4 linked regions of the Lytechinus pictus genome follow. The protein of the gene in region 3 purifies or fractionates together with the protein of the main gene of each other region. This does not show direct contact. Links are inferred from orthologs where the notes say so. Each region holds a gene or a part of one and is shown on either strand. Other genes may lie near its edges.

Region 1 (7,968 bases), on a different chromosome or scaffold from region 3:
GGTATTACCCAAGGATTCTTTGAACCAAGTGTGATAAAAATTGGTGCAGAAATAAAGAAATGAGAGCAAGTCAAACAGAAACTTGAAAAAGGATGGATATGACCTCACATCTTTTGACCCCTAGATGCCCTTTGACTCGCATCATCCTCATGGATACACATCTGGTATTATCGAAGGATCATATGTACCAAGTCTGAACACAATTGATGCCGAAATAAAGAAATGAGGGCAAATCAAACAAAAATATTTTTGTAGCAGACTAATGAATTGAATTGATAACTTTATTATCCCCTGACGGGAAATTTACCTTTCACTGGAGCATTACAAATGCTTACAAGGAAATGAAGTTTACAAATGAGATGACAAATATGAATAAATCAACAAGTCAGCAGGAATAATAAACTTAATTTAAACATAGGGTTTACATGGTCAATGTCTTGTAACAGTAATTATAACTTTCGAATAGAGATTAAAGTATAAAGAATCAAGAATCCGGGCATACATTCATTCAGTGGCTAATTATCAAATTGATCAGTATCTTTGTGCAGTAGCGTTGAAGAGGTTTGGGGTGAAAGATTGTCTCGTCCTTGCTCGAGCAGATCTCGGTACGCAAAGGCGGAAACCCGACCTATTGTAGTTATAGTTAACACGGAGTGGATGGGTGGGGTCATTCATGATTCTTTTTACTTTAGCCACTACCCTTTCCTCATATAGAATGGTCATCGAATCTAAATTATTGCATCCAATTATACGTTGGGCTACTCTCCTCGTTCTGTCTAGCTTTTTTATATCTACCGACAGACTGACAGGAAAAGTGGCTACTAGGTCTCTGCCGAACTTTGTTCAGGCGAGACAAAAAGACAAGAAAATATGAATTGCTGAGTATGGCTCTTACCTTGACTGTTCTGTCCAGTGAGGCGCTGGCGAATGTGTTGTTATCCTTGGGATTGAAGACTATCTGCATCACATAGTGGGTGTGTCCCTCAAAAACTTGAGTACACTGCCACTTACGATCCCAGTCCCACAGCTTGATAAGCATGTCATCTGCAAATGGAAGAACAATTTTATAACATTTAGAGAAAGAAAATTGGGCAGGACTGCATTCAAAGTGGAACTATTAGAAGTACTCGGTGTCAAACCTGGTGGGTGTTCATAAAGCTGCTCGTAAGTTAAGAGCGACTTTAGGAATGACTGGTGATCCTTTCTAATGGTACATAGTATATTCAATGGCGATGGTATAGCGCGTAAGAAAGGATCACCAGTCGTTCTTAACTTACGAACAGCTTTATTAAACAGCCCCAGGGCCCAATGGGTGTTGGAATAGCTCTTGCTTGGGGCGGTCCTCTCACAGCATTAAATAATTAATTAATTGGTTTAGATTCAGTGCCACTGTTTTTGCAATGAACTTCAGATTTGTTTGGGTTTAGTACCATTATGTATTGTGGTTGTGTGATTTTGTACCATACAATTTTTAATGCCATAATTTTGTAATTATTCATTTATAATATATATTTTGTATAACAACAGCCAGAATATGATTTTCCTGCCAAAATCTTAATTCATTTTACTTGAGCATGACAATAAGTGTTGAATATCTGCATATCTTTGGAAAGTATTCATTTCTTTTGAACCACCAGGTTGTTTTAGCAACATAATGTCATTGGTTGTCTGACAGATTCTTGGATATGGCAACCTTCCTTGGTGTTGATTGGCTGAGCACAATAATATGCAATAATGTACACAGCTTCCCTAGTTTGGGGTATCTCCAAATAATCAATGAATCTTTGATTAGAGTGTGCAAATTTAGGACATCTGCTCAAAATCTGATAGTGGCTACGTACATGTAAGTGGCTATATTTATAAGTAGCCACTATTATTATCATTATTGTTATTGCTATTATTAAAATTGAAGAATAGTAATGACTGACTTACCGCTACTGGTTAGAATGTACGGCTGGATCGGGTGTATGCCTATACTCCTGATGTAATCTGAGTGAGCCTCAAACATATGAACTCTCTCAAGGGTGTTATAGTTGAATACTTTCACTTGCATGTCATCCTGGGCAAAGCAAACAAAGATGGAATGTAATGTTCCATACAAACTCAAGAGGCCAAATGAATGAAATACCCCCAAAATCACACACAAATTCTTCTAAAATTCAGGAGCTGACAATTTTGTCACCAATACATATTTTCTCTTAGCCAACAAGATATTATACAACTTTATGTTCATTAATTGTTATCTTTTCAAATTAACAATTCACAATGTTTGGATAACCAACTAAGAATTGATGAGGATAAGTGGAGATTATCTTATTCAAATACAAGTTGCCTTTAAAATAATTCTATTCATTTTTCCTAAAAATGATTATGATAACTGTTCCTCTTCTAATAAATACTTAAATACTTGCGCAGGGTGATTATCGTTGAAAATAATTTAGATGAGCATCAATAAAAATAAAAATAAGGACTTACTGATCCAGTGATGACCCAGTTCTTGCGAGCGACAAACCTGGCAGCTCTGACTGGTAGATCACAGACCTCAAATGACTTGACAAGGGTCTGTAGCAAGAAGAAATTATAGTGGTAATTGGCAAGAGTGAATCAAATACAGCAAAGTGATACATGTATTCATCTAGAAATGTCAAATAATTGAATAGTGGGCTTTTTTTTACACTCATGTCGGTAAGGTGTGATAATCATTTTCATCATCATCACCATATTTATCATCATCATCCTCCTCATCATCATCACTATCATCTTCATCATCATCCTCCTCATCATTATCCTCCTCATCATCAATATCATCACCATCATCTTCATCATCATCATCATCATCATCCTCCTCCTCATCATCATCATCATCATCCTCCTCATCATCATCAATATCATCATCATCTTCATCATCATCCTCATCCCCCTCCTCCTTTATCATCATCCTCATTGGACATTTGCTTTCCAAACATGAGGTTTACAAACTGGTATATTTGACTTACTGCAATTATCATATTTTAGTTTGTGTCATCCATTATTATTAATATAAATTATGTTTTAAAGGTATAGTGTATGATTGGTTGATCTCAGACAAGGTCAGTGAATCAATTGTAAAGATATTATTTTCATTAAATATCTATATCAATGCTCTACTTTATCACTCAAAAGAAATTGGTATAACTCTTCTGTTTTCATGATATTTAGGGGTGAAATATATATTATAATATATCGTTTAACCGATATATTTTGTTTCCGCCCTCTCGAGTTAACAAATAAATTGATATTAGAACACCGTTCGAATCATGCATATTCATTACAACCTCATGCATATTGATGAAATACGTCATGGCGCATGCGCCGTATCAAGAAATCCCCGTATCAACAAAGTGCAGCGCTGTGTGCAGAAGTAGCTGAGTAGAAGCAAACACCGAATGTTGCGTGCAAGCTCAATGAGCCGATGCTAGCCGGCTAGCGATTAGTCCACGTCCTGGACGATTTTTATTGATTGGGCAAACCAAGGGCAAACCTTATCGGACCGTACCGGTACCCCCACGCGCACACATAACCAACACACACACGCCCTCCACTGATTCACTTACCCCCAGTGATTCACCTAACCCACTGATTCACTTTCCCCGAAAAAAAATGTTGTTTCGTGTGACTATTCAGGGGGTGTGTGTATGCGTGTTATGGGGATGTAGTGTGTTGTGTTTGGTAGTCGTATCGTACAAAATACCAACAGTCCAGGAGGTGGACTAGCCAGCGATATGCTTGCGCTCTGCATGCACGTTTACTTTAGACATAATCCACTATTAGCGATAGCACACACTGGACAAGCATATTATATGGAGCTATAGCTCCATGATTGTATCGTACGTGAATAAGGATTCAGACACTTTGATTATCGAACGTAAATGACGAAGCAAAGGATTGCCCAATACGGCTTACTTTCGGAATCTAATGTCATGAATCTGAAAGTACTCCAAGACTAAAAGAGATACGAGAATCCCAAAGAAGGGCAAGGGCCGAGTTTGATTTGACGGCCACCTCGCTCTTTGCGCTCGCATCAATATTGTTAGGTAGTAGATGACAATCAGAGATATCTATGATGACAATCCTGTTCATGATTACCAAAAGTGCTTAGAATGTCAGAATTTTAGTTCAGAATATCAATCACTTTTTAAGCCCAAGTGATTGATATTCTGACCTAGAATTTTGTCATCTAATTTTAACTAAACAATATTGAAGCGAGCGCAAAGAGCGAGATGAAAAATTTTCATATGTATATATATATAGACGGCCATCCCCATTCTGTCTAGGGCCGAGTATGAAGAAAGGGAAGGGCGAAGAGAAAAACGATTATTTTCAGGGCGGGATACAAAATAGTAAAACATAAAAGGAAGATAAAAGTTGATGGGACCATGGAGGACACACAGTATTGACATGAAAGTAGGATTATTCTTCGTTGTTTAGACTGAACTTGCGAGGTCAAAAGGTGAGCTGAGAAACCTGTTGATGCGAAGTATGTAGCGTAGTCTACATCGTGTAGACCGTGATAGTGTGTGTATGCGACCATAATGCATCAAATTGCAAATTTAGAATACAGTGTTATTTGGTCAATCTTTACAAGCAGAGCAGAGGCGTCATGAGCGAAAGCAAAAAAATTAGGGGGGGGGGTAGACGTAAGGGGCAAGATTTCTCAGAAAACTCTTATTCTTGCAGCCACACAAGAAAGCTTGTAGCTAGATGTGGAGTAATGAGAAGTTGAGTATATTCAATATTGCGCGGCGCTATGGTCTATGGTAGAACCGTTGCGCTCTAGGTATGCAGAGGGGTGAATTTCGGAGCCGACCCCGGGGGCCGACCGGCATGTTTTACAACAGAACTTTACAAGTCATGCCGTTTGAAACAGGGCAACGAAGTACGTGAAAGAAGACTAAGCAAACTTGGAGAAGCAACGTCCGAGGGGATAGTAATTTACGTCTGCTTTGAAACGTGTATCAATAAGGATTTCCAGAGAATGGGTCGCAGAGTATTTCTCCAGTATGGGGAGGGTGGGGGTAGCCTATAGGCCTAATCAATCCATCAGTGGATGGATGGATGGATGACTGAAATAATGAATAGATGGATGAATAGGCATATATATGAATGGATCATCCGATGAATGTATAGGCCTAACCCCAAGAACAGGAAGAATGGATGGACAAAGACAAATGGATACCAATGACGAATAATAGATAGGGGCGCCCCATGGGAGCTGTTGTTGAATGGGCTACCCCTTATCAAATAAACAATAAACAATTAAAAATAGATGGAAAGATGAACTTTATTGCAACAAATGAGAGGAAGATAGGCCTCCGGGATACACGCATACAGTGTGTGCACGAGCAGTTCAACTGTTGAAAAAATGTGAATGGTGCGTGGCGACGTGAGCAGGACAAAGACATCACTCACTTCTTGATTGGCATAACGTAGACTTATTTAGCAATGAAAGTGGAACCGGGAATTGGGACTCCCATTTTCCTGCTAATAAATATAGGAAAAACGAATGATAACTGTTGTTTTATAGCCGAGGAAATGTATTCTTCATATTGGGATTGGGACCAAGGAGACCCCGGCGTGTCAAAATTTCACAACTCATGGGGAAAATAATATAATAATCATTTTTGATGATTGAAAAAAAATGTGCTCAGTTCACACTGTCACGATTTTTTTTTTGGTGGGGTTACCTGCAGAAAAAAAATTGACAAAGCAAAAGAAAAACATCGTTGGTCATTCCATACATTTCTCAAATTTGACACCTATCAGAATTCCAGGGGGTGCTGCCCATGGAAAATAATACATGCCGCATCCCCAGCCCCCCCCTCCCCCCTCCCCCGCTTCCAAGAGGCATATAATCGCGGAGTAATTAATCGTATCAGAAAGTATCAGATCAGTCAAGGCGATCGTATTGATCGTAGAAAGTGTTGGAATATGGTTCAACTATTTTGGAGATCAGTTATGAAAGGCCAATCGTGCATGGTGTTCGTGACGGATTGCACTATTGTAGGAATAAGAATATTTTGGGGCGGGAAAGTCGCCTACTTCCAAGCGGTGATGACTTTCGGGGAAAAAAAAATCTGTTTTTGAAATTTTTGGGCAAGCCCATTCTGGCGAGGTTCAATGGGTATACGCCTATTCTGATGTATTTAATTTATGGTGATGTGATGCAAATATGTTGCCGATAAAAATATAATATTTTGCCTTTATGGGTGATTTACCCGGGTGTTTTACAACTCACAGGGGGGGGGGGGTCAAGGAGAATACAGTAATAGCTCTGAATACTGACTGAGAGACACTCCGATCTGCAAAAGTGAAGGCAAAGCTGTCATGGGGCAAGCAAACAAGTAATACTTTCTTGAATAGGCATACCATAATAAAGTTTGTGAGAATAATATTGAAATAAAGAGAAAATAACATTGAGAATGCGAACATAAGGAATACACACAACCTAAGGTTAGGAAGTGTATAAACAGCGAAAAATACAGAAAGATGTTATGAACATGCTTTCACTATTCATGAATGTATAATGCAATGATAAAGGGAAAATGTTTTAAGTTGAATTTAATTTTAACCAGTGGCGTAAATAATGAACATAACAAATATGAAGGGGCCAGATATACATATAGGGCACAAATCTTGATTTTTTTTTGTAATCTATGATAGATTTTGACATGATATTCAGATAATAGTTTCCCTTCTCTCTTTCCTTTTTTTTCTTGGCCGTGACAAATTTGGGAATCCATACAGCCCCAAGCCTTATTTTGAACGCCACTGATTTCAACTGAATATCATCAGAAAAATATTTACAAGGTAGTCAAGTGGCAGCCGACGCAGCGTGTAAAAACAGTATGAATTTCATTGTATGATAATAATAAAATGATAAATAATGTCATGTGTGGTTAGCGGAAACGAGGATAGGACGTTTTGTAATTCGCTATGCAGTAAAATAATGAGAATGACTGAAACGATATATATTCAAAATATAAATTTAATGAGAGAGAAACGATTCAAACAATAACAGTATAATATTATGTTGCGTTCAAATTCCCTTTTGATCGTTCTTTTGATTCCCTTTCAACAATCTATTTCTTTCTTCCTTTCTTCTCTCTCCTCCTTCCCTTTAGGATGGAGGGGGTATCGGATATAAGGAAGCAGTTTAGGTGTTATGGCACACGACAAGTTCAATTCAGTGGCCTAGTACTAGTAGGTCCATTGGTAAATTGCCAATTCGTCAACTGCCAACTCATCCATTCACCATGCACATGGTCTACTTTCATTTAGTCCATGCAATGCCAATCCGTCCATCAACATTTCATCGAACAACCATTTGGTCCAGTTAGTCCAGTATCCAATTCATTTTCATTCATTTTGCACAATAACACGTCCAATAACCAAATTGTATATGGACTAAATGACTATTGGATCAGATGGTTATTAGACGGAATGCATGCATGTGGATAGTGAACGAACTGATGGTAGACCAAATAATGATAGTAGACGAGTTGGCATTTGGACGAGTTGGCATTTGGACGAGTTGGCATCACGACGAAATGGAAGTAAACCGATCCGATCCATGGACTAGCGCCTAGTATCACGCCGGTATAGATAAGGAGGTCCAGGATCCAGGATCCATGATTGAGCCCGACTATTTTGGCGCCCCTGTGAACTTTTCGGAAAATGGCACCCCGACCCGCCCAGCACGGCAATCATAGGTGCCTTAAATGCAGTTTGAATTATCGTATTTCATAATCACGTGAAAAAGGCATCGAAGACCACTTTTTAATGTGTTCATGAAAAAAAAACATCCATGAATATGTTTTAACCACCTTTTGAAAAAAATAAATGCGACCAGAAAGCACAGAATTTTAAGCATTTTTGGGTTTCTATTTAGTTCAACTTCTCATCAGAGTGGTAGACCATACTAAAATTATG
Region 2 (7,903 bases), on a different chromosome or scaffold from region 3:
GCTGTTTATGCTGTTAGATATATATATTTTTTAAATATAGGATTCTTGATACAAGTGGAGCGCCTCTTGCAGTCTCGCCTGCATGCCTCGATTCAATATAGCAGCAGTGCTGACTTTGAAAACGACTACAAAATAATCATTCACAAAAAACACCACTCATATAATAGTATAATACTACATTAATTGACCCTAAATGACATTTGACCTTGATCAAGTGACCTAAGATTTGTGCAAGATGAGCAATGATACTTAATTACCCCTATGTCCACATTTCATTAACTATATCCATAAACTTTTAAGGTTATGGCAATTCAACAATTACCCCCTACATGGCCAAAGTTCATTGACTTTAAATTACCTTTGACCTTGATCATGTGACCTGAAACTCGCACGGAATGTTTAGTGATATTTTATTAATCTTATGTTCAGGTTTTATGGACTAGCTCCATATATACTTTCTAAGTTATGATGACAGGCAGGATGTTTAGCAATATTTGATCACCCTTAATATGTCCAAGTTTAACGAATAGGTGTTTTTTTTTATTTTTTTTTAAATAAGATGACATAGGGAGACAGTGAGTATTTGAAGATAGTGAATATTCATAAACAATGTAATTTGTAATACAATCACTTTAGTTTTACTTTATTAGTCTTTTTTTCAATAGTCTAATAAAGTCCCATCCGAATCCCTTAAACTCTATGTTGGTATCATCCATTGTAAGCACTTTGAAAGAGTACGATTCTGGAACAATCTTTGATATCGATAACGATCAATTCATTTTTACGTTGTATTTTTTGTTAAAGGCAATTTTTAGTTTCATCCCTGGGCGATGGGATCTGAAACTTTACTACCAAATAGTATTTAATTGTGTTTTAATATTGAAATCAAAGTCTTTAGGCATATTTCATGAAATTAGTCATATTATGCAGATTATTTGCAGATAGTGAATTGATGACATGCTCACAATGTTTCCGACGTCTTTGTTAAAAAAAAATAATTATTTATCATAACTGCTTGCATGAGCATTATTCTTTCAGATCGGAGATAAGAATGTTACTTATATAAGCATTATAGACCTATCTGGCTGTGAACCATGATTATCTATGAAGAAACAAAGAAGTTTTTTCTTTTTCTTATGTAATCCCCCCCCCCCTCTCCCTACTTTTCTTTCTTTCTTTTTATCTCTCTCCCCCTCTATCTCAGTATGTCTCTCCATCCCTCAATCTTTCTCTTTCTCTCTTGTCTTTCTCTTTCTCTGAACTCTCAACACATCATGGCGTCGCATCACCTGTTGCCACTCCGCTTCCTGCTGTTGCCATTGCCATGGTAACGATGACTTGCTCCATTCCTCGTTTCCAAGCCCTTGTATGTCGCAGTTTAAAAAAAAAGGAGCAGATCTATCGCTTCGTTCTAACCAAAAGCGACAGAAAATACCGGCCTGTTTTGAGATGATCGCTCAATGACCCACGAATACAATAGCCGCACCCCGTCCATTGTGTTCTTCCCGATAAAACCGGGTATTTAAAAATGTCTCCTCCACACCTGACTAGCCACCGATCAAAGAAATGAGCAGCGCTGTCTTTCAAAGATGCTGAAGGGATGTACAATAGTATTCTCCTCGGATATAGAGACGAGGAGGAGGGGTGGTGGAAAGGGCTAGTTATCTTCGGGGGCTATTATAATGGAGAAGTTAATTAAAGAACGCTGGTGTGTATAGAGCATGAGTTCTCTTAACACACAGCTGAAGACGACAGACTTTGATGTGCGTTGTGGTTGAAGACATGACATGAGAAAAGACATTAAATCAGCAAGATTAATGGAAGGGTTATCTAAACTTCTATGCCAATGACAAAACTATCCACCACCAGCATTAGAATCAGTTTCAGTAATAATCAAAATTGGACAAAACACCGTGATTATCATAGATGATGAGTCCGGTAGACAAATATCAGGAGCTGAGAAATTATAGTCTGTATCCCACTCCTGACACCAAAAATGTAGTCAACGATCAAGTTTAATTCAGCTGAAGAAATTACTGTGTGGTTTTCATTGCCTTCAGTTATTTTTAAAGGAATGTGAAAGGGACATGCCTATAATGCCATAATACCGGAAACACGTTGATATTGATCTAAAGGGGTCCGTGCACGTTCAGTATAACCAACAAAAATGAACAAAAAAAATCATGAAATTAATATAAATAAAGAAAAGTTGCTTAAATCATGGGGGGGGGGGGGGGTAAACATGAAAAGCAAACGAGGGGGAAAAAACTATAAGACCTAGTGGCAGATCCAGGAATCCGAAATACCCGTGTCCCATCCCTGTGGGGAAGTGTGCATATTTGAAAAACGACTCCGAAAATGAGCATAAAAATGGAGCCCTTTCTTTGGTTTTTAAAGGAGTATGACGGGAGTGAAACACACGCATGTATATATTTTATTTAGCTTGCCCAAAAAAGAAAATTATATACGGGAACATGCTCCTTATAAAGTTGATAACTTTCCCACGGTTATTTTTTTTTTTTTTGGGGGGGGGGCTTGTCGCAGAATTAAAAAAAAGACGGTTCCACGTATACCATTGATCAGTCCATCATCTGTCGCTGATGAGACCAGCATAATTATAACATAGCTCAAAACCTACGCATGAGTGCCCACACATTATTTTTTTAATATGTGACAAGCTACCCCAAAACCAACAAAAGGTCGCCAGAGAAGGTTCTCTGTATTAGCCAGAATAGTAATTTGGTCTTTATAAAAACAAAAATTGAAAGAAAAAAACACAGCTTATCTCAAAGAGTAATTCTTCTTCTGTATAATGCCAAAATGTCAAGTTGTATAGAGTTGAATATAAAACAAGGTACAAGAGTTTCTGTGGCACAAGTTTTTTGGGGAATGCTTGGAAATTTCACTCAGATTGCAGTGGGCCCTGAACTTCTAAGTTATTTTTGAAGCTCTCGCCTTGTTTCTTCTCCATACGATCAAGTATAATAGTGTGGGTTGTTGTTGACCAATTTTGACAAGTTAGTTATAAAGCTTATTGCTTATTTTCATCTCATAAAAAATAAAAACTAATTTTGGGCGACTTTGGTTTAATAAACACGATAAATACATTTCAATTTTTCTTCGTTATAAAACAATTTGGTTTGATTTTGTTGTCTATAAACATGTGGAATTGCGTTTTGTAACCCATATGACGTAATATGATATTTTATCAATATTTTCCTTATGTCATATCAATAAAATAAAAACAATTACAAAAGTAAATAAACGGTGTGTGATGTTCTTTCAATAATAATTGATGCATATCTGACCGTGTTGTCTTCTTTAATGTAACTGCTTTGAGAAAATAAGGTAAACTTGAAAATGGTATATCTACAGCCGCTTTTTAAGAAATTTTAGTCAACTTGTTGTGTTCAAGGTGGTGGTTGACTTGAACTTCAGCATAATATGACAACGATATGATTTGTTTTATAATTTCCTAGGTTCACTGTTTTATATAACATTCTATTTCAAAATTCATAATGCCCCTTGTACATCCATTTGTATTTACCGAATGACACTTAGAGGGTGCATACTTTTCTGTATCTTCTCCTCCCGCGGATTTTATATAATTTACAGCTTTTCCCGGTTTTCATAAATAAATAAATCGCACAATTCACTTGTCATTCTCACTCTGATTCCATTTTAAAAAATGAAGGAAAAAATGAAATGAAATTTTTCTTTATATAACTTTTTAAAAATCGCTGAAAGTATATACATTTGGAGGTTTTTCATAAAAAAAAATTTAGATGAATTTTTTAAATTATTAAATAAAATAAATCATCATTTTGGTACCGAGAAATTCAGTGACAAGCAACAACAAAAAGTTCACTATAAAATGAAGGTAATTTGGGGTTGCTAGGTCCTTTACTTTTTTTTTTACCTGGCAGCCCCAGCCCCCCCCCCCCCCCCTTCCGTTGGTCCGCCACTGGGAATCGTCGAACCGCATTTCAGGACAGGGACTCACTCGACCGTAAACTGCTATTGTTGTATTTTGGTATTTATATGTTTCACTATAGGTAATTAACAACAAAATATATTTAAAATTCGATACCATTATTAATCATAACGTCTCATCCTAGATCTATTTTAGCTCAATACTGCTGATTCTCCATAAAACAATATTGTCTACGCGATCAAATTCACATTTTCTCTTCATTTTGAATCAAGAAAATAAAGAAAGGATTTGATAATTTTGGCGGGATGTTGCAATCCATGATCCCCATCGATCGAAATTAACATTCTCATGCGGCAGTCACATAATCAAGACTAATACCAAACCAACCGATACCCGTACATTGAATAACGTAATAGGCTCGTAGCTCTGATCGTTCTGGAGTCGGTTTCGTTGTTGTGACTGTGCGGGATTATCTTCGAGATGACCTCAAACAGGCTAAAACAAAAGGTGAGAGAGTTTAGAAACCATCGGAGAGGGCATCGAGTAAACGACCAGATAATTGGTAGATGGGTCTGTTAGGATGCGATAGCAATCACCTCTCCTCCACATGTTATAACCCAAAACAAAGGAAGTTGAGAAAGAGGAGGATCACCGAGGTAAAAGAGCAACCGGAAGTCACGCACCTACCTCTATTGTTTATGGATATCACAAACTTCCTGCATCATTTCTATGCATCACAGAATGATTGTACGTACGAGTTCAGAATGCGAGATTTTATAGAAGGAAATTAATCTCTCCTGTATTGACTCAATATCATTCAAAGAGAGTTCTTCCATGGATCCTACTAGAAGTTCCATGCTGTACTATTCTGACCCCCCCCCCCCTTATGGCCATGCATGATGTAACACATTACGACATACTGTAACAAGTAAAGTCATCATTACAACAAACGTTTTCTGCATAAGATCGCATACATCCCATGGGATGTGTTAAAAAATTGTCTCTCTGAAATTTTGTCAAGACCAAGTCTGGGGATCGGGCTTTCCAGAAAGCTGCACCATAGCAGCACAGTGGAATTCTCTCCCGCCAATTTTACGAAATATTACCCAACTTGAGCAAAAAACCCACCTCCTTCGCTTCAGAGATAAAGTAAGTTATATGTTCAAAGTATGTTTGATATTCTTTGATGTTTATAATTACTGGCGGTTCCAGGAAGGGGGGCACAGCCGGCCCATGCCCCCCCCCCTTGAGAGACACAATTTAAAATTTGTAATGTAAAAATGCCGTTAAAACAGAAGTGTGGCCCCCTTTTGAAAGCGAAGACCTTTTTTTTTTGCTTGTCAATTTTTTCGTGGACGAAATCCCCTTATTTTTTTAGTTAAAACCCCCCTTTTAGGGGGGGGGGCTTGTCAAAATTTTCCTCCCTTTTCGAAAACTCCTGGATCCGATTGTTATATTCAGCTTTTCCTGAGAGACCCTTAGGTGCTATACGCGTCCATCCCAGAAGAACTGTTATTATCATAAGATGTGGAATTATTTTTGAGAAAAAAAAATCCTAAACGTGAAAACTTGTAAACGTTTGCCATAATTTCCATTGTAGAATAAAAGGTTTAATCATTCAATTTCTTGCAGTTAAATCGGTACAATCGATCGGTATGTATATAGCTGTAACCAAAGCTACGCCTACGACCGTTTACCAGTTTGATTATACCCCTGAGAATGAGCATGTTTTATAATAATCTCAACTATTTTACGATATTTGGATACTATACATTTTTTATTGGTCGATGAAACTATTAAACGACGTGAAATGTTTAGCTCTTACATCTCTTCCCTATGATAACATCCGTTGTATTGACCTCATCATGTTTTGTCATCTCCGTTTCTATACCACGTTCTTTATCCACTTTTACGTAAATATGCACGGTACTTATGCATGATCATTGCTCGAATTATGATGAACATTTTTTAACAACATGTAAACAGGCATGTAAACTCCCTCAGAAATAATATGTCCATTTATACAGCGCAGTTACTATGTGCATATACTCAACTGCGCTTTGATACATGGTATCATACCCCGGCTGTAGCTGAGCCGCCATATTAATAAAGCATTCAATGAAAAATCTTACCGGATACTCATTCACCTCACCTGGGTCGAGTGCAGCACAATGTGGATAAAGTTCTTGACAAAGGAAATTACGCCATGGCTGGTATTCGAACCCACGACCCTCTGTTTCGAAGTCCGGAGACTAATCCACTGCATGGGCCTAAATGCTCCACAATATAAATACACAATATTGATCATGCCTCAGAGGTATAGTGGCGCTACAAGGGGGCAAAGTAATTAATAAAACACTCATGTCTACTAATTATTCTGAGGAAAGGATTGACTGCCCTCGATCTTTCAAATAAAAAAAAAATCTGTGAAGTGGGGGGGGGGGGGGGTGAGAAAACATGGAAACGTGTGTCTTGGTCATTATTTTGAGAAAACAAATCAAACTTACATACAACTCCCGTGGCATGCTTACAGAATGATGAAAAATGAATTGTTTTAATCATAACTTGGACAAAAACTTAATTTTATTTTTGTTATCCTCCATGGGAAGTTTTTTTTTTTTTTTTTTCGTAGTGAAAATTCTGCAAATTATCAATGGCAAAGAAAACCAAAATACGGTACCACAAGAATAGCTTCAATATTTCTATTTATTCGACCTTATCCACCCTTGGCCTATTAAATCCTTATGTGGGCTAAAAATGGCTGGCCGAAATGGATCGTAATGCTCTAATAATCAACTGTTATAGACCGGTCTGGGACGGCCTCGTGTTGTTAATTAATACAATAATGGTGATGACCGTCTCCAAAATCATCATCACCACCACCACCACCACCACCTCCACCACCTCCACCACCTCCACCACCACCACCACCACCATCATCATCATCATCACCATAAAAATCATAATTGTATTACTACGATGGCAATTATACAGTAATGTTTGTCCTTGCACGCGGTCATTGAATTGAATTGTTTTTCATAATTGCTTGGCGGATGCAAATAACAAGACCGGTGGATTTTTAACCGAGTGGTTTGGGATCTCAAAAAGGAGGAAGGTTTTTTGATAGAGCTGAGAAGATACTGGTCCTTGAAAATGTGTCCTCCCTACACCACACCGTTATTAATATATTTGCCTACTTTTAGCCTATCACGGACGAGTCCCTGTGCAGAGCGAAGAGAGAGGGCGCCTGTATAGTATTTCATATACAGGGACACTAATTTCATTACGACCGTATCATCACGATTGCTGGACCTACACCCCGTTTTATTTATTTATTTTTTTAATTTTTACAATTTTGATCTGCTAAGTTTCGAACTTTATTTTACATCCGAATCAATAATTTCCCCCATTTATTTTGAATCATTTTTAATCGCTGGTACCACAATCTTTAGTTTGCAATTTACTTCTAACTCGGAACACACTACGGAACAAGTTCCGGGAACAAGTTCCGGGAACAAGTTCAATCACAGTTTCCTCTTCGCTTTTAATTCGCTTTTATGAATGAAATAAAATAGAGAAAACTCCGAATGAAAAAGAAAAACAAAGTTTCTTATGCTTATTGTTAAAATTCATATTCTGTATAGCTATTTTCCTAATACAATAGGCCTACTTTTCTACATTACATTTTTGGAAAACTTTCATTTATCTGAGCATGCAGACGATAACAATAATCTGCATTAATTTTATTGTTTCAGGCTGGAAAATTCCCAAATCTGCTGCCGAATCGTATGTATTTATAAAGTTTACAAACTGCATGTCTTATTAACTTTATTTTGTGGGACTTCTCCTTCATCATGTGTGTTAAAAACATATGAGTGGCCGTTTCAAGAAAATCAACATTTTGACGTACGTAGGCCTATACCAATTATAATTGTAATACAGTGACAGATACCAAGTGGAAGTTGAACT
Region 3 (7,902 bases):
ATGAAGTTTTATCCCATGTACATGATTTAGAGCTAGATCTTTTAGAAGGAAAGTAGAAATCTCGGGGGTGAAAGTTTCAGGTTTTGGCTTCCTTTGTGTGGGTCTATGAGGTAGAAGTCCTGGCTTCGTATGAGAGTAACCTTACGTTAGTAAATGATTTTTACTCTCTAGAAGCCGCCTGGCTAGTCAGAAGCCCATTTGTTTTGTGTGTGGATGACAACAAAAATCCTTATCAAAACAAAAGTAGACGGTGAAAAGGGGTAATTTTACATGAGGAATCTGCCTATCACATTTTTATTTGCCGCCAAGGTAATTTTGCAGCAAATGTAAACAAAGGAAATTGGTCTCCCAAACTGGAGTGGAGACTCAGACTGTCTCTGAAATTGGATACCCAAATTATTTACAAAAGTCTCTGATATTGGAGCTAATCTCTCTCTTGGGAGACAGTTTCCCATATTGGCCGTGCGCCTCTACTGATATGATATAGGCCTAGGCCTATTTTATTTTTAACATTTATTTTAACTTAAAATGGCTTCCCGAAACCACTCTAGGCGACACCCCAATACTTACCCGTGCTAATAAACTGGGACTCCACTCACGCGCGTTTGGGCCTCCCTAGCTTAGAACTAAGCACTAATATCACCTTAAAAACTAAATCTACAAGGTATGTATAATCTATTTATAAATTTAATAATGTTTAATCGGTACTCACCGGTTCTTTTGTTGCATTTTCAGACCATTTCTCACAATTCTTCGTAAATATTTGCGGCAAATTTTGTCGCCATAGACAGCTTAGCGTCCATCTTTATTGATAAATGGAGCGCCCTTTACGATAGTTGTTAATGCCGCGGAGAAATCGTTAGGCATTTTGGCCTGTGTTCAAGGCGTTCTTTCTGTTTTATTTTTATATTGAAGATTGTGCATTTGTTGAATAGCGCCGTCTACGTCAGGTATGAGATCGAGTGTATAAATACACTCTTCCAAAATAATTATGATTCCGACCTGGCGCTGTTTAACTTCAATCTCTTTCACCTAAATTAGCGATGAATGCTAGCATTATAAAATATATATTATTAACGTCTGACGAAAAGAATAACCAACCGATCAGCTGACGAGAACGCGAATCACGTGATCTTCATATCAGCTTCGATCGCGAGTCAGAAGAGAAGAGCAGTTGCCCAGAAAATCAGGAAAAAGCCGTGAAAATGTAAGTTCCCCTTCATTTCTTTCAATTTTTTTTATTGCTAACAATGTATTCAATTAGTGAGATCGAAATGTAATGATTAGACAGTACGATAGCTTGTAGTTTTGATAAAATACAAAAATAATCATCTTCACAAAGATTTCTGACACAAAATACTACTGATGTCGCCTATGAGGTCCATACATGTAATGTTGGACCTCATTGGTACTAGGAGTGCCCGACACTCCTAGTACCAATGAGGTCCAACATTACATGTATGGACCTCATAGGCGACATCAGTAGTATTTTGTGTCAGAAATCTTTGTGAAGATGATTATTTTTGTATTTTATCAAAACTACAAGCTATCGTACTGTCTAATCATTACATTTCGATCTCACTAATTGAATACATTGTTAGCAATAAAAAAAATTGAAAGAAATGAAGGGGAACTTACATTTTCACGGCTTTTTCCTGATTTTCTGGGCAACTGCTCCTCTCTTCTGACTCGCGATCGAAGCTGATATGAAGATCACGTGATTCGCGTTCTCGTCAGCTGATCGGTTGGTTATTCTTTTCGTCAGACGTTAATAATATATATTTTATAATGCTAGCATTCATCGCTAATTTAGGTGAAAGAGATTGAAGTTAAACAGCGCCAGGTCGGAATCATAATTATTTTGGAAGAGTTTATTTATACACTCGATCTCATACCTGACGTAGACGGCGCTATTCAACAAATGCACAATCTTCAATATAAAAATAAAACAGAAAGAACGCCTTGAACACAGGCCAAAATGCCTAACGATTTCTCCGCGGCATTAACAACTATCGTAAAGGGCGCTCCATTTATCAATAAAGATGGACGCTAAGCTGTCTATGGCGACAAAATTTGCCGCAAATATTTACGAAGAATTGTGAGAAATGGTCTGAAAATGCAACAAAAGAACCGGTGAGTACCGATTAAACATTATTAAATTTATAAATAGATTATACATACCTTGTAGATTTAGGTTTTAAGGTGATATTAGTGCTTAGTTCTAAGCTAGGGAGGCCCAAACGCGCGTGAGTGGAGTCCCAGTTTATTAGCACGGGTAAGTATTGGGGTGTCGCCTAGAGTGGTGCCCGAAACTGTTTTTGCATTTGCCCCCTTTCCTTTTTATTCCCGTGAAATGGCTTTCACGCGACAGACGCTATTTGCGATAAATTCTATAGCTTGCCATCGTAGCCGCTAGAGTATATTTCATTTTATGATGCACAGAAAGCAATTTTTTGGAACTGTTTGTTTGTAAAACAAACCATCATCTGGCAGCATCCAGATGCAACATAAAATGTATTGCATGGGACCGTACAACAAAATTATTCTTGCAATCTTTCCAATTAATTTGATGCACATCGCATCTAATGACTTTACCTTTAACTTTTGGGCTTCGTTGATACACTGTTGAAAGCTTCCAATGTAAAATGAGTTCCTCACTTCAAATAATTCGTCCACATCATCATTCTTTGGTGCCATTTTGGAGATAAATTTAGCTCAATTCACAGAACCTCAGGCTTCACAGACACGTCACTTTGCAAGTAGTCTTTGTCAAGGATCTAATACAAAAGAATTACTGCACGCAAATTCTTTTTCATTAATTTATTTCATTTCCGATTCATTTCCAAGAATACAATGATGATATTGAATATCAATACTTTGAAAACCATCATCAATACAATCAGAAGACAAAGAAAATACACACGCACAAAAAAGAGAAAGAACGTCAGTTAATGCCTGGGGCCGGGTATCAAAAAGAAAATGGGTTGGGATTGGTGTTGGGATTGGTGTTGGGGTTGGCTGGCGGGTTCGGGTTTAAGACCGCACTTTTTCTTGAATTATGTTTTTTAATTGCTTTTCTAACCGTTTTCCTCTGCCATTTTTGCCTGGCGCTGGTAAAATGACAGGACTGAAATTTCAGAATATTTGAAATGCATCTGCCGACTGCAGTATTTATTTATGGCAAATTCATTATAGCGCTACTTGCAGTCTGTCCAAAATGCCACCCCGATCCCTTTCTTTTCTCCTTTTCTCTCCCTCGCTCTTCACTTCCTTTTCTCTCTCTTCTTCCTCTCCCTTCCCTATTTTTCCTTCTCTTTTTCACTTCTTCCTTTTCTCTTCCTCTCCTCTTAATCACCTTTTTTTTCTTTCCCCTCTCCCTTCATTTTTTCTTTCTCCTAGCTTTCCTCTTCCTTCCCGCTCTTTTCCTCCTCTCTCCCCCATTCTTTTACCCTTCCTTTCTTTCCTCTCCCTTTCTCCTTCTCTATTTTTTGGTCTCTCTTTCCTTCGATCTTTTCTCTCATCTCTCCCTTCTTTTTTAAATTTTCCCTCTCCTTTAATTCCTTTCCATCTCTTTTCTTTACCCTCTTCCCTTCATTCCCCTTCCTTTTCTTTTCCCTCTCCCTTTCCCTTCCGTTTCTCTTTCACCTCCTATTCTTTCCCATCTCCCCTTCTTTCATTATCCTTCTCTTTTTCCTCCCCCCCCCCTTCCCTTATTCTCTTTCCTTTCTCCCTTTTCTTCTCCTCTCTTTTATTTTTTTTGGGGGAGAGGAGGGTGCATCGGTTATCATGAAAATCTTATCAGGGTTGAATTTAAGCAAGCATCTGTTAAGACATCGCACAGAGGCTACCACCCATGGTTTTATGATCTCATTGGAAACTTCCACCCCCTTTCCTATACCCGCTCTCCGCCAGGTCACAGTCTATTATAAAGACAGGACTTATCTCTATCCCACTCTATAAGGCATTATGTCTTTTTCACTCTCTCTTGCCAATACCCAGCTGATCGTGTAGTCATTGTGACATAAAATAGATGAGTCTTTACTCAGGAATATCTCATTGATAAATGTCCATAATCCACAAGAATTCAGGAAGAGATACACGAATGTCTTAGAAAAAAAGTGTAGAAAGATTTATTTACAAATTCAGAATGATACATTTCTGTCATGTTTATATCAAGATTTTACTTTAAAAGAGGACGAAACCCTTGAGACTGACCAGTTGACTTCAAATAGATCAATAAATGTGTGAGGAAGATTGAATGAATAATTAGTTAAAAATATGGGCATCTGAATATTCAGATCAGTAACACTATGTAGATCTTCCCATGGGCATTGCGACCAAGATCTGTGACGTCACACACGTACAACTTCCCCATTACTTTAATACATATTTCACTTAAATTTTCTCTTTTATCAATTCTTTGCAAGATAAGGTGTTCTTTTTTATGAGGGCATGTAATAATGGTTCACAACAATGTATCATGGATGAATTGTTTGTCATATCAATAGAATGAGCAAAAAAGAGATGTTTTGGGGTATATTTTTAGTGTCCAAGGGGGAGAGTTTTACATGTGTGACATCACAGATCTATCACCTTTTTCACATTGCCAATTAGAGGATCTCAATAACATTAGTGATCTTTACATTCAAATGCTTATATAACTTTCTTATCGCTTGACCAATCTTACTCAAAACTTTTGATGATCTTATTCTTTGATCTATGCCCCGTCTTACAAAGAGTTATGTTTGATCCAATCAATTGTAACTCTATGGAAATCCATCAGTGTCATCATTTGTTCTACAGGAAATTTGCAAGATATCCTTTGTAAACAAAGGAGCACACACAAAATTGTCAAGAAATCAATGAATTTATAGATATACATTTGTATCTAGAATTTTTTTTAACAAACATGTATTTTATATGTTGACTTCGCTGGCTTTCCATAGTTGCGATTGATCGGATCAATCACAACTCTTTGTAAGACAGGCACCTTGTTTCATATAAGCTAACCTGCTCCAAGGGTTTCATTCTCCTTTAAAACAATGTTTCCATTGAATTATAACCCTTCTTCTAGAAAATGAAACACAGGTAAAGAGTCTAACAATACAGGTACATAAGCCATCCATGGAGCAAGGTTTGAAATTGTACCCTTAAATATTTCTTTACTTATCACCAGAACAAGATATTTTGACCTTTGACCTTGTGATCCACAATGCTAATCAGAAGCCCGTTCATAAAACTTGTTATAATAACAAATTTGCAATAAAAGTTATAGACTACTATGATCTTTCAATCTGATTGGTTGATTGTACATTCATTAGAGATATAGTGCATTTGTTATTGTAACAGGTCTTTGTGAAACGGGACGCTGATCATCGCATCAATATCCATACAAGAGCAAAGTTTGAAGTTGATGGTCCTTTGGCCACTGCTCTTTGGCCTGTGACCTGTGACTCTGACCTCGGTATACTAAAATATAATCAGATCATCATAGCCGAATGAAAGCCAATTTGAAGTTGATCCCTACAACTGTCTATATCACAAGATATGTAGATGTATCTGTGATCTCTGACCTTGCCAACTCTTTGACCTTTGACATTGATACCTCGAAACTGAGCAGGTCACTGTCACTCCTGAATGTATCTGCATAGTTGGACGAAGTTTATCAAATAATTCGTGAATTTTCATAAGAAAAAAGATGGGATGAACAGATGTAAACCCAAAACCATGGTGCCTCCATCAACACCTATGGTGGACAGAGGCATTATAAATCTTTATTTGCTTTAAAAGTCTTAACTAGAACATCATTTCCTTTGGAAAATATGCCTTTAAGAGATGCCAACCAGTAGGATTTTTGCATGAGTAAAGGACAGTAGGAGTTGTATCAATGAAATAAGACGTTTCTGAATTCCGATGTGTGTTATGTGCGCTACAATAATAATAATCACTAGATTTTAATTCGTCATGCGGACGAATTAGGTGGTCTGTCATGATTTTTCATTCATTGTCGGCTAATGTTGTATAAAATGAATCCCGGGAATGAATCATTCAGATATGATTGATAATCTTGATCATAGACATCAAAGGAATAAATTTTGACCATTGCTAAATGTGATTATAAATGTAGTGATGACAATCGTGATGATTATAATGATGGTGGTGATAATGCAATATGTTAAATACGAAATAAAGTTAGGAGCACGTAAAATGCCGGCTTAAAAACTCTCCAAAAATCTCAGACGATTTTACCGAAATTGGCTTTCCAAAATTGCGCAATGAAAGGCGCCTTAATTTTCACAGCAGCTAATTTTTAATCGACAGTTTGATGTTTTTTATGCAAATTCTTGTTAAAAATTCTTTGTACTTTGAGCATTTTTTTTATTAATTTCACCCACTGACATTTCACAATGTCAGTGGGTATTAATTTCACAGAATACTTGAAAATTCATAGGTGATACTTTTTAAAAGCTAAAATATCTTAAATATTTTTGTTCAAATTTTCTGCTACATTTCAATAGATTTTAATGAGAAGTTTCATAATGCTATAATTTCACAGCATTCACCTCAAAACTCATGAGTGATGTATTTGATAAAAGAACCAGATTTTTTTGTAAATGTTTGCCAAATTTCTGAAAATTTTTAAACATTTCAAATAATATTTTCCGTCAAAAATTTTCAATATCCATTTATTAATTGTGTATGACTTTGACATTTACTTGAAAATTCTTTCTTGATGATTTTTACTGAAAAAAAGTCAGGTAAAAGATTCAAATACTGGCAATTTTCCCGCAAAATTTCGGGAACATGTGTAATTAACTAAATTGCACAATTTTTTCATTTCACAGAAGGTACCTGAAAATTTGTTATATGTTATATTAAGTAAAAATGAACAAACAGAAAAAAATCCAGGAATTTCCGCAAAATGTCCGGAATGAAAATTTTCAACCAAATAGCGTTTAAATATTGCAGCGTTTACTAAAAAATACATAAATGATGTTTTACAATGTTAAAATTGCCCCTTAAAAAGTTCCGGCAAAATTACAAAAATTGTCCTACATAAAAAAATGCAAGGCAAGTGGGCTTGAAATTTTCAGGAAGACTGTACAATTGGTTAATAAAACATTTCTCTAAAGAATTTCTCAAAAATTACGTCCAGAAAAAATTTGCAAAAATTTAAACACATCATAACACATTGATGCTGTGGTCAAAAGTCAAAATTATTCACACGTTATTTGTAGAGAATTGTCTTCACTATACGATATCAAAATTTGGAAGAAAACTGACCAGTAAAAACGAAGATACGGTCAAGTCATTGACGTTTGTTGCGGAAATATGTAATTTTCACTAATAACTTAAAATTGACGTAATTACAAAATCTCCAAATGAAATATTGAATATATAAAAGAGTGAGAAAAAATTTGGGGTCAACGGACTCCCTGAAGAGCTACAGTGAATTTTATATAGGCATATTTTAGCCCATTTACGCGCGCGTAATGCAAATTTGAATGGACGCGCATTCCCGTATTATTGGTCGTAAGAGGCTGAATGAGGTATCAAATTAATCAGAAGATAATGAACAATGGAAAGACATGAAAGAAATGATGACTCGAAGATGCATAACGATGGTAGGTGCAAGAACGCGCACGCATACCTGTGCGCGCGCAAATTCTTGACATGCTCAAAATGACCAGAAACGTACCCAAACTTGACCACGGTCGATTTGGGGAAATTTAAAATTTTGACGCGCGCGTACGTGCGCGTCGTGACCTTTGCATGACCTCTGATGATATGTCCTGATGACCTGTCACCTGAACTTGATATGATGCAAATATGGATGATTTTTGATGATTAGTTGCGATGATATGATCAATCATTTAATTTTACAAAATGGCGCCTAGATGA
Region 4 (7,555 bases), on a different chromosome or scaffold from region 3:
AACTGGGACGATCCTAATTTTCTGTCTTTCTGACCAGCACAGCGCCTCTGGCTCTGCTGTTCAAGTGATCTGGTGTTTAGCCTGGAACTTGGAAGCACAAACTAGATCATATCTGAATCCTATCCTACTAGTACTACCAACATGTCCAAAACCTATTTTGACGGACAATGACATGAGTCGATCATGACCGAGTTAAAACAACGACAACGTTAGAAAAAATATTGACAACTCAAGTGGCCTCAACACCGACATAACCGAGTGACATTTCGGGACTTATCAACTTCAACATGTTTGGTGGGCATCATTTGGTGTTAATCTGTTGTGCTCATGTAAAAACTTACCTCCTATAACTAAGGCTCCTAACACATTAACACGTAAACACCGTCAAGGCAAAACAATAGGTGCCCCAACAACACGGTATTTTATAGATGGCAAATATAGCGATCTTCAACGCTTATATATAAGCGTCGAAATTTGTAGCCATCTCCTTGTATTAGTCTATAATATACGACGTGTCAAATTGTAGCGAACTAGTTCGCTATTTCCAGATCTCCTCTATATATATATATACGAGGGGGAATTGTAGCGAACTAGTTCGCTATTTTCCAGATCTCCTCTATATATATATATACGAGGGGGAATTGTAGCGAACTAGTTCGCTATTTTCTAGATCTCCTCTATATACAAACGACGGGAAATTGTAGCGAACTAGTTCGCTATTTTTCGGATCTCCTCGATATATATACACGAGGGGGAATTGTAGCGAACTAGTTCGCTATTTTCCAGATCTCCTCTAGATACATACTACGGGATTTGTAGCGAACTAGTTCGCTATTTTTCGGATTTCCTCTATATATATATATACGACGGGAAATTGTAGCGAACTAGTTCGCTATTTTCCAGATCTCCTCTATATATATATACGACGGGAAATTGTAGCGAACTAGTTCGCTATTTTTCGGATCTCTTCTTTTGTAGCGAACTAGTTCGCTATTTTTCGGATCTCCTCTATATACGACAGAAAATTGTAGCGAACTAGTTCGCTATTTTTCGGATCTCCTCGATATATACACGAGGGGGAATTGTAGCAAACTAGTTCGCTATTTTCCAGATCTCCTCTATATACAAACGACGGGAAATTGTAGCGAACTAGTTCGCTATTTTCTAGATCTCCTCTATATACAAACGACGGGAAATTGTAGCGAACTAGTTCGCTATTTTTCGGATCTCCTCGATATATATACACGAGGGGGAATTGTAGCGAACTAGTTCGCTATTTTCCAGATCTCCTCTAGATACATACTACGGGATTTGTAGCGAACTAGTTCGCTATTTTTCGGATTTCCTCTATATATATATATACGACGGGAAATTGTAGCGAACTAGTTCGCTATTTTCCAGATCTCCTCTATATATATATACGACGGGAAATTGTAGCGAACTAGTTCGCTATTTTTCGGATCTCTTCTTTTGTAGCGAACTAGTTCGCTATTTTTCGGATCTCCTCTATATACGACAGAAAATTGTAGCGAACTAGTTCGCTATTTTTCGGATCTCCTCGATATATACACGAGGGGGAATTGTAGCGAACTAGTTCGCTATTTTTCGGATCTCCTCTATAAAATTTTATACACGAGGAGGAATTAGTGAACTAGTTCGCTATTTTTCTAATCTTTATATATACAAGAGACGGAATTGTAGCGAACTAGTTCGCTACAATTCCCCCTCGTGTATATAATTTTATAGAGGAGATCCGAAAAGTAGCGAACTAGTTAGCTACAAATCCCGTCGTATGGATATAGAGGAGATCTGGAAAATAGCGAACTGGTTCGCTACAATTCCCCCTCGTATATATATATAGAGGAGATCTGGAAAATAGCGAACTAGTCTGCTACAATTTGACAATATGGCATCAATATATACAGCCAAAACCTGCAGATTTTCACTTTGAAGCCTTCACAATAATGTAAGCTTTGGAAAAAAATGACAACTAGTTCGCTACAATTTCCCCCTCGTGTATATGAAGAGATCAGAAAAATTGCCAACTAGTTCGCTACAGTTTGCCATGTTTATATTTTAGAGAGGAGATGAGAAATGGCGAACTAGTTTGCAACAATTTCCTGTCGTATACATGTAGAGGAGATCCGAAAAATAGCGAACTAGTTTGCTACAATTCCCCCCCTGGTGTATATATAGAGGAGATCAAAAAAAATAGCGAACTAGTTCGCTACAATGCCCCCTCGTATATAGTTCGCTACAAATCCCGTCGTATGTATATAGAGGAGATCTGGAAAAATAAAAAAATAGCGAACTAGTTCGCTACAATTCCCCCTCGTGTACATATCGAGGAGATCCGAAAAATAGCGAACTAGTTCGCTACAAATCCCTGGTGTATATATAGAGGAGATCTGGAAAATAGCGAACTAGTTCGCTACAATTCCCCTTGTGTATATATCGAGGAGATCCGAAAAATAGCGAACTAGTTCGCTACAATTTCCCGTCGTTTGTATATAGAGGAGATCTGGAAAATAGCGAACTAGTTCGCTACAATTCCCCCTCGTATATATATATATAGAGGAGATCTGGAAATGGCGAACTAGTTCGCTACAATTTGACACGTCGTATATTATAGACTAATACAAGGAGATGGCTACAAATTTCGACGCTTATATATAAGCGTTGAAGATCGCTATATTTGCCATCTTATTATTTCCCCCAACAACACCACTGATCACTTATTCACTGCACTGCACTCACACTGTGTCTGTCACTTTTTTTGTCAGCAAGATTTTTAATTTAAAAAAGTTATCAAGGCTTGATTATTTAGCTTGTAAGAGACATTTCAATAAACGATAAACACCATTTATTTACTACTAATGAAATTATAGCTAACAATATCATACCATCTTCTTATTCAGTATGCTCTTCGAATAAAACGGCAATTTCACTGTCTTCTGTGGGATTTTCTCAGGATTTTCGCTACACAGTCGTAAGATTAAGACGGGCCACGTCCGTGTGATGTGGAGTTTGAGACGGATAACGCCCGTGGCGGAAGAATATTTTTTAATTGTGGACTTTTCTTTCTCATTCAAGAGAACAGTAATCACTTTCACTGATTGAATTATCCCTAAATCTTGTAAAATTTATTTGAATGAAGGTTTTCATGTGTTTCAATTGTACAAAATATAATTTCAACCAATACACAGCACTATATTTTTGCTCTAAAATTGTACACATATAATGGGCTCAACTTCCGGGTTGAAGGTCATTTGCATTTCACGTGTAGTTAAAGTCTTTCGCGAGCAGCTAGCAGTACAGAGCAGTGACGCAGACGGTCCGAAAACGTAGTTTTAATTTTACTAGAAGACTTCGGTTCACGGAGATTGGGAGTTTCTCATAGTGATAATAAGCATCGTCGTCTTTTCGAAAGTATGGCTAGTCAAGTGGAAGTTATTCGCATAGGCTCGAGAAAGAGCGAGGTAAATGCCTCTGGGGAACCGAAGGATTTTTGTTCGGTCCCATACGTGTTTGGTTGTGTATTGTGTTTATCGAATTTCTTCCTCTTGTCTTGACAATTGACAGCGCAGCTCAGCGATGCCGCGCCGATGAGGTGACACGCCCACTCCTGGCCGGTGTAGCGGCGGATTCGGTTCCACCGGCGGATACCGTATCCGCCGGCAGATATCGTTCTTAATGGCCGATATCGTTTTTAATCGGAACCATATCCGCCGGGTTTGACGCGGCTTGAAGTTTGCAGATTTGGTTCTATTGACGATACGTGTAATATTTATTTGGACAGACGTCCAACCTCGGCAGCGCGCGCATGCGCGGCTCTGGCAATGTCGTTACCAATGGGGGGAGGGGATTTTCGTCCGCCTTTAGACTTTTAGTGAATTTTTATTCAGGGCCGGATCCATAAAGCTTTTGACGAAGGGCTCGATGGGGGTGAGGGAATAGGAGAAACAATGACTCGATATATCATGTATACATAGACCTGGCACATGCGCCAAAACTTTGCTATTTATTATTATCAGATTTTGATGAAATTTTCATCATTTTGTTTTGTAGGCCCTACGTGAAAATTTATACTACTTTAAGTCCGCAGTATGCATCGAAATCTTTAACTGTGCTTTTTCACACCATGATTAGTGTAAGTTTGCCAGACTGGCGAAAATTTGTACCCCCATATAGGCCTATAGTTTTTATAAAACTACAGATTTTCAACGAGTTAAAACTTCATAATTTCAAAATAAATGAGGCAAATTAGTTTATGAATATATATTGCTGTTAACTCATATTATTGCTTGTAGAGTGCTGATTTTTTGTGAAAACATTTAAAAAAAAAGAATTTCAAAACATGATTAATATCTTATGTAGTTTATTGTAGGCCTATTTTTAATTTGTTTTTTTTTTATTCCTTTTTTTTCAATATTTTTGTTAAGGAATCTGAATTAAAGGGATGGTCCGGGCTGAAAATATTTATATCTTAATACATAGAGTAGAATTCACTGAGCAAAATGCAGAAAATTTCATCAAGATCGGATAACAAATAATAAAGTTATTGAAGTTTAAAGTTAAGCAATATTTTGTGAAAACAGTCATCATGAATATTCATTAGTTGGGCTGATGATGTCACATCCCCATTTTCCGTTTTCTTATGTTATCACACAAAACCATATTTTTTTCATTTATTTCATACTTGTGTGAATAATATGTCTCCCTTATAATGAAATAAGTTGCAGCAATAAATATCTAATGCACTAAATCAGTTGTCAATCCAAATTTTCTAGTTCTTGGAGGAAAAAATTTGAATAAACCTAATTTCATATAATAAATTACAAAAGAACAAGTGGAGATGTGACATCATCAGTCCACCTAATGGATATTCATGACGTAACAGGCGGGGGGGGGGGGGGAGTTGCCCCCTGTCGGATTTAACCAGGAATAAAAGAAAAACGGGAAAGGAAAAAAAAGGAGGGAGAAAGAAAGGGAAAGGGGAATGAGGGGAAAAGGAAAGGAAAAAGTGAAAAGAAAACGAAGAAAAAAACCCTTTTTAATGGAAAAGGAAGGAAATCGGGAAAATGAACATTTGAGAAAGAACAAATCATTCCAAAACAGGCATATGTAATGCAATAGCACGATGGGAAATAAATTAAAAGATGACAAAATGGCAAACAATAGCGCGAAACGAAGGTAAAATGCAATTAGTCAAAAGCTAATTTTTGGAAAACAAAGAAAAGGGACAAGAAAAAAAAAATAACACGACCGGGCTTCCGATGATTGAAATTAAAGAGCGGGAAGAAAGATGGACTGCATATAACATTGTGCTATAAGCTAGCCAAATTTTATGTAAATAAGCTACCGGGGCTTTGCCCCAGACCCCACACAGTAGGGGCTCTTCATTTATACTGAACCTCAAATTGCTCTATAACGCTTCCCGTTCACAATCACGTTCAATTACTGCACATGCGCCGGGGGGGGGGGGGGGGGGTCTTGGTTCCACACCCAAGAGAAATAAAATAAATTAAAGGAGACAAGGTATAATGAAATGAATGGAAACAATGAAATTTGTTAGTTGCTGAATCTAATGGAAAAATCAATTATATAATTAGAATTTAATTTCAAAAGGCTTTTTTTTCCAGCTCGATCGCTTTGCGACTTTTTACAGATTTTTCCCACATTACTATGTTTTGCCCCTCAAAATATTTGGTTCATTACGCAACTGGGTTGAATAAATGTGTTGTGTAAAAGCTATATCCTGTACATGCCCGCGATTTGATTAAAATAGCGGCAATCTGCGAGGTTTAAATGGCTTTGATATCAAGAAATTCCGGACCCCAACCGCACAGCACTGCGTATGGAAGGGTTGGGCTATGGTCCCAAAAAGTTCTACAAACAAGAACAAAAAGAAAGGAGGAAAGAAAAGCAAAGGAAAAGTGTAGAATATGATTTTATTTACTGAATATAATGCCAAAAAATAGCTCAAAGTTAGATTCTTCTTTGTGCAAACTTAATCTCTGATTAACGTCAGTCTGAGTCTGACTCTGTCCCTAATCATCAGAATAAAGGCAAAATGTTGAGGCTTTCCTCTTCAAGGCCTAATGTAACTAGAATCCGAAAGGTAGCTGGCTCTCAATTAGACTAAGGCTAACCCACCTCTTCTTCGAACTTCATTTCGCAACGTTATTCACGCGCGGTGCGCGTGCATGCATGACGTGTGAACGTGATGAATGAAGGATATCGCGATAGCGCAAGAACGATATCTTCCGAATCTTCTGAAGGGAGTGGCCTTTTTTGGTACTGAATCCGCCGGAGGAGAACCATATCCGCCGGCGGATTTGGTGCCTAGAACAGTATCTGCCAGGCGCAGGATCCGCCGGTACACCGGCACCCCTGGGCCTGGTAAGCCTGGCCCTGGCCTGGACCTGGATCTAGACACAGCGTAGTTTTGTGATGATATATTTTTTTTTATTATATATCAATTATCATTGACATTGCCGGACATCTTTATTTCACTGTGCTTTAATTCAAAAATGACAACTAACTTGTTAGAGGAAATACATTCTGGAAAAATTCGCACGTGCTATTCCAAAATATTGTGGAAATTATGAATATCATAAAATTATTTTATATTAACCAACCATTTTTCTTTGCATCGCAATTGCCGCATACCCTTCAAGAAAAACATTACGTGACTATATATTATATAGTCACGTATTGTTTTTCTTGAAATCACTTTTACTTAATTTTATTAAAAAATAATTTGAGTTCAATCACATGGTTCCAAAATTGCATCCTAAGTTCCCATTGCAAAATTATTCTAAATCAAAAAGCTGAGAAGAAACTGATGAGTGATAAGGGGTTCATTTCTTATCTATTACTTTTTTTTCAGTTGGCCATGATACAAACCAATCATGTTGTGGAACTGTTGCAGAAAGTTCATCCAGATGTGGAATTCAAGATTGGTAAATAAAAAAAATTGTGTTTTTTCCTCAGATTTTGAGGGGTTAATGCCAAGACAATCCAAGTTTTTCATGACCATATTATTATTGATATTGAGTTGAAAAATGAGACTGTATGCAACAAATTTGGCCATGGGGCTGTGATGTTGCTACAATTGTTCTACAATTGAAAATTGTTCATTCGCCACCCTTTTTGCATTAGAAAAAACAAAAACCCAACTTGTGAATTGCAACCCATTATTATTTCTTTCAATGACGAATAAATACTTATTTTTTGTTAAAATGAAGTCACTAAATAATTGTTATTTACATTTAACATTACTATCAATGGTGAATAATCCATATAATTGTTTGAAATGATTTTGATCAGTTTTTTTTTCTCTTCCTCTCATTATAGTGATGATTTCAATTAGATTTTTATGAATAAATAAGAACTAACTGATGATGATGAACCTGGCATTGTCACAGAATTTGGATTTAAGTTAACGCTATTTTCATGAGAAGCTCTGGATTTTTTTTCTTCAAATGTTGAAGAGCTACAATGTAGCTACTACAACCCAAAAAGAAATATTGCCAAAGCTGCCATTCTAAAC

Evidence for each region.
Region 1: the proteins of coatomer subunit epsilon-like (region 3) and coatomer subunit beta'-like purify together in Homo sapiens (affinity purification with mass spectrometry; 4 studies listed by BioGRID and IntAct, with this or other methods). This does not show direct contact. The link is inferred for Lytechinus pictus from reciprocal best matches to the Homo sapiens genes COPE and COPB2.
Region 2: the proteins of coatomer subunit epsilon-like (region 3) and phosphatidylinositol-3-phosphatase SAC1-B-like purify together in Homo sapiens (affinity purification with mass spectrometry; 4 studies listed by BioGRID and IntAct, with this or other methods). This does not show direct contact. The link is inferred for Lytechinus pictus from reciprocal best matches to the Homo sapiens genes COPE and SACM1L.
Region 4: the proteins of coatomer subunit epsilon-like (region 3) and coatomer subunit delta-like purify together in Homo sapiens (affinity purification with mass spectrometry; 4 studies listed by BioGRID and IntAct, with this or other methods). This does not show direct contact. The link is inferred for Lytechinus pictus from reciprocal best matches to the Homo sapiens genes COPE and ARCN1.

What each region holds. Positions count from the first base shown.
Region 1 is NC_087258.1:18,199,506-18,207,473, forward strand, and holds the start of coatomer subunit beta'-like, read right to left. Parts: upstream 3,009-7,968; coding exon 2,997-3,008; intron 2,563-2,996; coding exon 2,476-2,562; intron 2,060-2,475; coding exon 1,933-2,059; intron 1,045-1,932; coding exon 896-1,044; intron 1-895. UniProt on the Homo sapiens protein: The coatomer is a cytosolic protein complex that binds to dilysine motifs and reversibly associates with Golgi non-clathrin-coated vesicles, which further mediate biosynthetic protein transport from the ER, via the Golgi up to the trans Golgi network.
Region 2 is NC_087246.1:55,294,456-55,302,358, forward strand, and holds the start of phosphatidylinositol-3-phosphatase SAC1-B-like, read left to right. Parts: upstream 1-4,892; 5' UTR 4,893-5,083; intron 5,084-7,903.
Region 3 is NC_087249.1:9,540,510-9,548,411, reverse strand, and holds the start of coatomer subunit epsilon-like, read right to left. Parts: upstream 3,008-7,902; 5' UTR 2,698-3,007; coding exon 2,596-2,697; intron 1-2,595. UniProt on the Homo sapiens protein: The coatomer is a cytosolic protein complex that binds to dilysine motifs and reversibly associates with Golgi non-clathrin-coated vesicles, which further mediate biosynthetic protein transport from the ER, via the Golgi up to the trans Golgi network.
Region 4 is NC_087252.1:32,345,665-32,353,219, reverse strand, and holds the start of coatomer subunit delta-like, read right to left. Parts: upstream 3,017-7,555; 5' UTR 2,907-3,016; coding exon 2,904-2,906; intron 1-2,903. Other genes in the region: porphobilinogen deaminase-like, read left to right, coding at 3,432-3,479, 6,893-6,965. UniProt on the Homo sapiens protein: Component of the coatomer, a cytosolic protein complex that binds to dilysine motifs and reversibly associates with Golgi non-clathrin-coated vesicles, which further mediate biosynthetic protein transport from the ER, via the Golgi up to the trans Golgi network.